2 linked regions of the Macaca mulatta genome follow. The protein of the gene in region 1 purifies or fractionates together with the protein of each later gene. This does not show direct contact. Links are inferred from orthologs where the notes say so. Each region holds a gene or a part of one and is shown on either strand. Other genes may lie near its edges. The genes, in order: CYFIP2 and WASF2.

Region 1 (4,544 bases):
TCCCACAGCTTTTCACACAGAACCAGGGACAGAAATGTATGTGTGTATATATATATATATGTCATTTTTTTTTCTGAAATAGCAATTTGAATTGGAATTAGTGATTTAAGATCAAACCACAAGGAATCATGGATTCTGAGCACTTGGGAAATAAGGTGAGATCAGTAAGGGCAAGCAAAGGCTTCTACAAGTCCTTTGCTGGAGCTTGAATAACGGGGCTCCTCTACAAATTGCCCTTATTAGGAATAGCTGAGTGATTAAGTATAAATTTGTGGACCCTAGGAAACCACTCCTTATGTCTACATACACTCCACAATGTCTTAAATGCTTTCAAATTGTTTACCCTGTAAGGTATAAAAGGCAACCGTCATTCCCTGTGTTGCAGATATGGTGACCTCTGTGGAGCAGAGTGGTGAAGTAACCTGCTCAGGTGTCTCAAGGTTAGAATTTGGTGCAGCCTGACTTCAGCCTGGTCTGAAGGCCTACCAGGCTGGATCTCAATGAGAATTGTTTCTTTCTCTCTTTCTTTCCTCTCTTTCCTTTCTCTCTTTCTCTTCTTTCTTTTCTTCTCCTCTTTCTCTCTTTCTCGTTCTTTCTCTTCTCTCTCTCTTTTTCTTTCTTTCTTTTTTTTTTTTTTGTGAGACAGTCTCACTCTGTCACCCAGTCTGGAGTGCAGCAGCGGGATCATAGCTCACAGTAGCCTCAATCTCCTAGGCTCAAGCAATCCTCCCACCTCAGCCTCCTGGGTAGCTGGGACCAAAGGTGCATGCCACCACACCCATCTTTTTTTTTTTTTTTTTTTTTTTTTTAATTTTTAGTAGAGATGAAGTTTCGTTGAGTTGCCCAGGATGGTCTCCAATTCCTGAGCTCAAGCGATCCTCTCTCCTCGGCCTACTAAAGTGTTGGTATTACAGGTGTGAGCCACCGGTGGGCAGATAATCGCTTCTTTAAGGAGCCCGTAACGGCAGATAAGCCTTGAAGAGAAAGGTACCTGTCCTTTCAGTGCTTCCTGTCGCCTATTTGTCCGTGAAGCAATTCCAGAATGAAGTTGAGGCAGGCCCCTGTTAAAGAGGTGGCAGCTTCAGGGACTCTTCTCCAGGGAACTGGAAGGGAGGGGAAGAACTTATTCTTGAGCGAAGAAGCCCCATCAGCGTCCAGGTTCAACTGGTGGAAGGCCCCCTCCCCTAGCCCCAGTTGCATCTTCAGTCACTTGACCCTGCTACTTCTCCTCACAGCACTTTGGGCTGTAACTGGACGTTAGATGGGTTAATGTACACCCGTCTCTCCTGGAAGGTGATAAAACTCCACGGGGGCAGGGACCCTGTCTTTTGTACACCAGTGCACACCCAGGTCCTGGCACCGTACATGGAACGGAATAGGTAATCAATAAAGATTGGGTTGATAAATGAGCACTCGGAAATCATGTGGGGCCAAAGAGATCCGAATGCGGCCGAAGCTCTCGTTCTCGGGTTGCTGCAGGTGTGGTTCCTAGTGATGGAGGCCGTGGAAGAAGCCCTCCCTCCCTTTCCCGCCCCCAGGGCAGGAAGCCTGGGTGCTGAGCTGTCCTCTGAGCCCGAGGGGCAGGTCCCGGGCGCGCCGGCGGTACAGCGGGGAGCGCCGAGAGCCCCTCGCCGCAGCCATTTCCTGCCCTTTGTGTGACAGCCGCAGCAGAGAAGGGGCGGGCGCTGGGCGGGGGCGGAGCCGCGGCAGGCGGAGCGGCGGGGTCGGGGCGGGGCCGAGCGCCGCGCAGCGGAGCGGGGCAGAGCATCCTGCGCCCCGGCGCGGGGCCCTGCGGTAGCCTTGGGCCCCTCCCCTGAACTCGCCGCAGAGCCAGGTAAGCGGCGCTCGCAGGCCTTGGGCCGGGCACGGGGACCGGGATGCTGCCGGGGACGGGGTTGAGGCCGTGAGGATGCGCGAAGGGCCGCCCCCTCTCCCGGTCCGCGGGGGGCGCTCGGCGCTGCGCCCGGGCTAGCGCAAGGCCCGGCCTCAGGCCCCACGCGGCCCCTTTCCCCCTCGGGCGCACGGTGCGTCCCGCGGCACCGACCCTCTGCCCGGGAGGCGCGAGCACATCGCGGAGTTCCGGCGCAGCGGCGGGGTAGCCGCAGCAGCAGGTGCGCGGCCTGGGCCGGAGCCGCCAGCCCGGGAGGAGGCGGTGCTAATCTCAGGGACCGGAGACACCTGCGGTGGCCGCGAGCCCGGCGGCGGCGACATCCTCGGGTCCAGGTACTGCAGAGCGCTGACCCCTGCCTCTGCCTCTGTGACCACCGTCACCTCCCCCAGGGCCAGCGAGAGCCGCCTGGGCCCGCCTGGCAGCCGCCTCGGGCACACAGAACGTGTGATGGGTGGGGCGAGGGGCGCAGCGGCGATGTTTGGGGGCGGAGGGCTTTGATGAGAGAGAAGCAGGTCTGACCCGCTTGGAAGCTTTCTGGCCTACACTAGCATCGCTCTCCAGGCTGGCCGCGGGCAGGATGGAAGTGGGGGAAGGGGATGAGTGGGCTGACTCCTGGGGGAAAAGATTGTTTTTTCTTGAGCTCTGAGGAACCAGGAAGAGGCTTACCTGTCTGTTGTGACGTCTGCTTTTCAAGACAACCCTACCCGTCACCCCAAGGAACAGCCCACCTATGTGCAAAAGAAGAGGAGGTGCTCTCTGCTTGGGGATGGGGGATGGTCCACAGAAGTATGGCCCTCTATACCCAGAACCCGGCTGGAAAGGACACTGACAGCCCCCCGGTGCCCCCCCAGCACAGGGAATCTGATTTTGACCTTTGCTTGCCTACTTTCCCCAGCACAGTGGAAACATTCACCAGCCCCGACGAGCCATCAGCTGTCCTTCCAGCTAGGCCAAGAATGGGACAAGGATCCTTTTCTGCTAGTTCCTGGGTGCCTGTGCCCTCAGCATGGGCAGGGAGACGGAGGCAGTCCTGCTGGCAGGAGGGGCAAATCAGGAGAGTGTCGGTTCCTGTGTTCCCATTTCCTGCCTCCTGTCTGTGTCCCAGTTAGGGCAGTGGGTCTCACCTTTCTCTTGGATACAGGCTGTGCCAGCAACCCGGGTCCCTGAGATCTTAGAGGGTAAAAATCAGGTCCGTATCTATGGGCAGGTCTGTGAAGGCCTTGACGGTTGCTTTCTCCACCATTAGACCCTCTCTTTGTGGCCCTCCTGGTGGCCTACCACCTCCACTTCCATACAGTGCCCTGCTCTTCCCCCAGTCTCCAGTGTCAGAAATTGTTTTCAAGAAAGGAGCCAATGATTGTGTTTATCTTGAAGAGCTGAATACAAAAGAAGTTCGCATTTGATGCGGAGCAGGTGCTTTACAAGTCATTTGACCAGAAAATAAACAGAGGATGGAGGCATTTTAATGGGAAACAAAGCTTTAATGGGAAACACTGTAGAAATATTTGCTATCGCTAATGGTGGAATTTCAAACAGTGGGCTGGAAGTGGAGGTGGGGAGCTGGGTAGTTCTTTTGGGAACAGGTCCCTGAAATGACAATATCTAGCAGCTGTCAGCTCTGTATTTGGCAAGGGCAGCTTTGGCCCTGGGGGCAGGAATGCTGTAAGAGTGTGTGTGCATGTGTGTGCATGAGTGCATGTTTGTTTAACTGGTCAGGGGTTACTGTCACCGGAAGGCATTTTTTGAGCACCCAGTGTCCACTTTCAGGATGAGAAACTTGTGTACACAGGGTTCCTCGTTGGCATTGGCTACCCTTTGCCAAGGCAATTATTAGACCTCAAGAAGAGAGTGTTGTTTGCTTACAAAGTCAGTGCCTCTAGATAGTTCTACACACTGAGCCTCTGGCTGGGGGCATTAGCTCTCTGCTCACTAAGCTTCTTTATTATATTTCCTGGCCAGTTCTGACCGGTTCTGTAGGCACCCAAGGCTGCCTTGTTCAGTCCCTGCTGAAAAATGAAAAAGGAAAAACTTGCTTTAGGCATTAGGCCAAGAGTCGAATGTACAACCCAATGGGGTTGGAGAATTTTACTCAAATCAGATGCTGGCCCAGAGAAGGAAGTAGACATGAATTCAAAAACTGGTAAAAGGCCCTGGGAGAACTCTACATGTCCCCTCTGATAAATCATGCCCTCTCTGATGTTCAGTGGGCCTCTGCTGCTGTCATTGACCAGAAAACTGAATGAGATGAATAGGCAACAAGCTAATTAACGGAAAAGCGCTCCTGGAAAACAGTACGGGCCCCAGTCCCTACGTTTAAGGATTGGACTACACTCTCAAGGCGGCTTCTTTGGACCTCTGTTGGCCCCAGGGGTCCACCAAGAGTGTCACAAAATGGCCTTTTGTAGCCTCCAGGTGGCCACCATAACAATGAGTCTATTTCTTTACTGGCAAGTATTAATTATTCACTTGTAATTGACGAAGCCAGACATCAGTCACCTCACTGGAGTCTTTATGAAAGGCCTTTGGTCGTGTCATTCTGAGGAGCAAAGCCATGCCTAGGGTCCAGGGGATGGCCCCTGCATCAGTAGTGAGATGGTGGGAGGAGGGGGGCAGGCTGCTGCCTTCTAGGCAGTGAATGGGGGCGGGGGAGGAA
Region 2 (3,805 bases), on another chromosome or scaffold:
TGGGAAATCAGCCCTGAGGGTACCTTCATTACCTTCACCTCCCAGTAAAGGGGGCCATTTTGTTCCATGGACCCCTTTTCACTACTGATTGGGTGGGGCTAGGGTCAGTAGCACTGTTCAGACAGGTACTTGTCATAGGTTCAGTGACTCTAAGGCCAGAAGCTTGTGTGTTCAGAATGCCAGCTACCCATGTGTGTCTTTTATTTGTGGAGTAGGAAGATGAGGATTTGTCTCCCATTTTCCTGTTGTCCAGGCGGTTTGGAGTTGGGGCTTCATGGTTAGTCTATCTGGACATGCCTGTTGGTGAACCTATAAAGAGACGTGCCAAGGCTCCAGGGCTCCAGGCCTTGGGGATTTTCCACATCAGAGCATCTTTTGATTCAGTTAGTTTCCTCCAACTCTGTTCTCCCTGGGGTCTGTTTTAGATGAGTTCTTTAGACCCCAACAATAGTGGAAAGAGGGGGAAGTGGAGCAGAGCAGGCCAGATTTTGTTAGCTGATGCTTGGTGTATTTGTGCTTGTTTGAAGTTTTGTTGTTGTTCACCCAGAACAAATTCACCCAAGGCCCAGTGCACTGAGGGACAGGTTTTCATGAGGCAAGCCCTAGCACCCTACTTTAATCGTCAGCTCATTTTGTTTGATAAGAGACCTGGCAGAAAGACCACATTTACTACCACATAGCACCCTGCATTCATCCGGAGCTTGATTTTGCAATCCAGTGCCTCCTTGGCCTTCCAGCTTTCCAGAGGCTTGCTGACCTCAAAATCAGGCTGTGTGCCAGTCACGTGTTTGCAGCTCACTAGCCTCTGGGATTTGGCTTCACCCTTTGCCACAGGACTTTGGGATTCAGGTATATCTGCACCTGACACTGGGGAGATAATTTAAAAGAACTGCTGGGCTTGACAAGGCCAACACTGGGCAAGGAGCAGTTTTGATAATCTGGGTTGAATCCTGTTACTACAAACAATTCAGCAGAAATATCTGGGATATATTTGACAATAGAATATTTAGTCTTAAAATAAAATTTCAGTGTAACAGAAAATATGTGGGAAATATACCTATTTTATTTCTCCCTAATAGCTTTTGTATCAAATGCATTTTTGTAGTACCTTTTAAGAAGAAAAAACCCACTCAGGCTCTTTAAATGACAGTTTTTGGCATTCGGTTCATTGACAGGTATCCACCCACCTTGGTGTACCAGAATGGCAGCATTGGCTGTGTTGAAAACGTGGATGCAAGTAGCTATCCGCCACCACCACAGTCAGACTCTGCTTCTTCACCTTCTCCTTCCTTCTCCGAGGACAACTTGCCTCCTCCACCAGCAGAATTCAGGTAAATGGTGGTACCTACTCCATCCACTGTCGGTGGTTATACACTCAAGAACAAAAGGATGGACCAAGAGCAGTGGCTCATGCCTGTAATCCCAGCATTTTGGGAGGCCAAGGTGGGAGGATCTCTTGAGGCCAAAAGTTCAAGACCAGCCTGGTTAACATAGCAAGACCTCATCCCTACTAAAAACCAAAAAAATTAGCCAGGCTTGGTGGCACACGCCTGTGGCCCCATCTACTCAGGAGACTGAGGTAGGAGGATCGCTTGAGCCTGGGAGGTTAAGGCTGCAGTGAGCCATGATCATGCCACTGCACTCCAGCCTGAGTGACAGAGCAAGACCAAAAAAAAAAAAAAGAGTTAAAACCCTAGGTCAGGATCACTAAAATAACTTCAAACAAGACTGTCTAGATCATAGAAATAATTAACACTCTATATATATGTTGCTTCATTCCCATTGGAGTCCTCTTTTGAGATAGGTACTGTTATTCTCATGTTATAATGAGTAAACTGAGGCACAGGGGGAGTCAATGAAATGACCCAAAGGTCACAGCCAGTAAGGGCAGAGCCATGATTGGTCAGTTGGACTCCAGAACCTATATTCTTAACTACTCCTGTTTAGCCTAGACCCAAACAAATAGAAGTTACCACCTTCTTTCTTGTTTTTTCCTTAACTTTATTCATTTATTTATTTATTTATTTATTTATTTTATTTTTTTGAGACGGAGTCTTGCTCTGTCGCCCAGGCTGGAGTGCAGTGACCAGATCTCAGCTCACTGCAAGCTCCGCCTCCCGGGTTTACGCCATTCTCCTGCCTCAGCCTCCCGAGTAGCTGGGACTACAAACGCCCACCACCTTGTCAGGCTAGTTTTTTTTTTTTTTTTTGTATTTTTTTAGTAGAGACAGGGTTTCACTGGGTTAGCCAGGATGGTCTCGATCTCCTGACCTCGTGATCCGCCCGTCTCGGCCTCCCTATTTATTTATTTGAGACAGAGTCTCTGTCACCCAGGCTAGAGTACAGTGGCGTGATCTTGGCTCACTGTAAGCTGCGCCTCCCGAATTCATGCCATTCTCCTGCCTCAGCCTCGCGAGTAGCTGAGACTACAGGCGCCCGCCACCACGCCCAGCTAATTGTTTGTATTTTTAGTAGAGATGGGGTTTCACTGTGTTAGCCAGGATGGTCTCGATTTCCTGACCTCATGATCTGCCCGTCTCGGCCTCCCAGAGGACTGGGATTACAGGCATGAGCCACTCTGCCGCACAGGCCTTTTCCTTAACTTTAACTCATCATGAAATGAAGTGGTACAATCCGCTCTTCAGGAAATAGTTAGCAGATACCTTGCCCAGTTGTCTAGGAACCTAGCATAGAGTCACTTCCTCTCTTAGTGCTGGTTAGTTTCACTGCTATGTTGAATCTCCAGAAACAATGAAACAAAGGGAAAAGGGGGATGAAACTCCAAATTCGTCCATTTTTATATTTGTCAGTGTCCCTGGCAGAGGTGTACAATGGAAGTGTTAGGCAGTAATGACTGAAAAGAGATCTGAGAATTGTTCAGATTGCACTGTTTTCTCCGTTACTTTTGTCCCTTCTAATGCCTGATAAATGAGAGCTTTGAAAGATGCACTTTTCTCCTTGGATACTGCTTAATTAGAGATTGAATATGTTGAGGACCCCTCAGATGGAGACCTAAAGCAGTGCTGCCCTCCTCCTCTCCCCTCGTTCTTCTTGGCCCTAGAAACCATTAATCCCAAATCTCCTGCTTCCCAAATCACTTCCTGCTGGTGGCCCTGTCAGATGCAGCTAAGACTGGAAGGTCTGTGGAAAATTCCAAAATGGCTGCTTTTCTAAGGCGTAGCTGTTAGTGCAGGGCAGATACAAAGGTGGAAAAAGAAAACCTTCTGCTTCACACATGGCCTGAGACCTTGCAGCTGCAGCCAAGCAAATCTGATCCCAGGAGAGGTGTAGCCGTAATCCTCTTTCAGGCCTGGGTCAAGAGTCTGGTGGCACATTCATTTCCCATCTCTGCGGATTCTCAGATTGAGATTCATTCTCTCTCAAGATTTTCCCACATGAGCACTGAAGATGCATTCACCTAAATCTATATCCCACTCAGGTGTGGTCAGCCTGGCTTGGGTTTCCTGCCCTTTCCAATGCTGGTGAATGTTAATAGCCTGAGAAACAGAGCCTAGTGTGTGGGTGGTGTTTGAATTTTTATTCCAGTTCTTTCTTGCATGCACCCTTAACCTGGCTCCAGGATTAAATTAGCAACTGCCATGGACCATCCTTCTTAGAGAAAGGGAGGGAGGGTGCCTTCCCCTTAGAGCTGGAAAGGCAGAGGGGTCTGAGAGATGTCTCAGCTAGCCCTTACCTGATAGAGGAATCTCAAGTCCACTTCTTTCAGGTAGTTTTACTCAATCTGGCTATCCTCCTCTACTGGTGGGAAGCTCATTACCTTACAAGGCTGCTTATTTCATTATTT

The links.
Region 2: the proteins of CYFIP2 (region 1) and WASF2 purify together in Homo sapiens (co-immunoprecipitation; 3 studies listed by BioGRID and IntAct, with this or other methods). This does not show direct contact. The link is inferred for Macaca mulatta from reciprocal best matches to the Homo sapiens genes CYFIP2 and WASF2.

What each region holds. Positions count from the first base shown.
Region 1 is NC_133411.1:166,135,269-166,139,812, forward strand, and holds the start of CYFIP2 (cytoplasmic FMR1-interacting protein 2), read left to right. Parts: upstream 1-1,720; 5' UTR 1,721-1,834; exon of another isoform or gene 1,835-2,223; intron 2,224-4,544. UniProt on the Homo sapiens protein: Involved in T-cell adhesion and p53/TP53-dependent induction of apoptosis. Does not bind RNA. As component of the WAVE1 complex, required for BDNF-NTRK2 endocytic trafficking and signaling from early endosomes.
Region 2 is NC_133406.1:213,544,769-213,548,573, forward strand, and holds part of WASF2 (actin-binding protein WASF2), read left to right. Parts: intron 1-1,175; coding exon 1,176-1,331; intron 1,332-3,805. UniProt on the Homo sapiens protein: Downstream effector molecule involved in the transmission of signals from tyrosine kinase receptors and small GTPases to the actin cytoskeleton. Promotes formation of actin filaments. Part of the WAVE complex that regulates lamellipodia formation.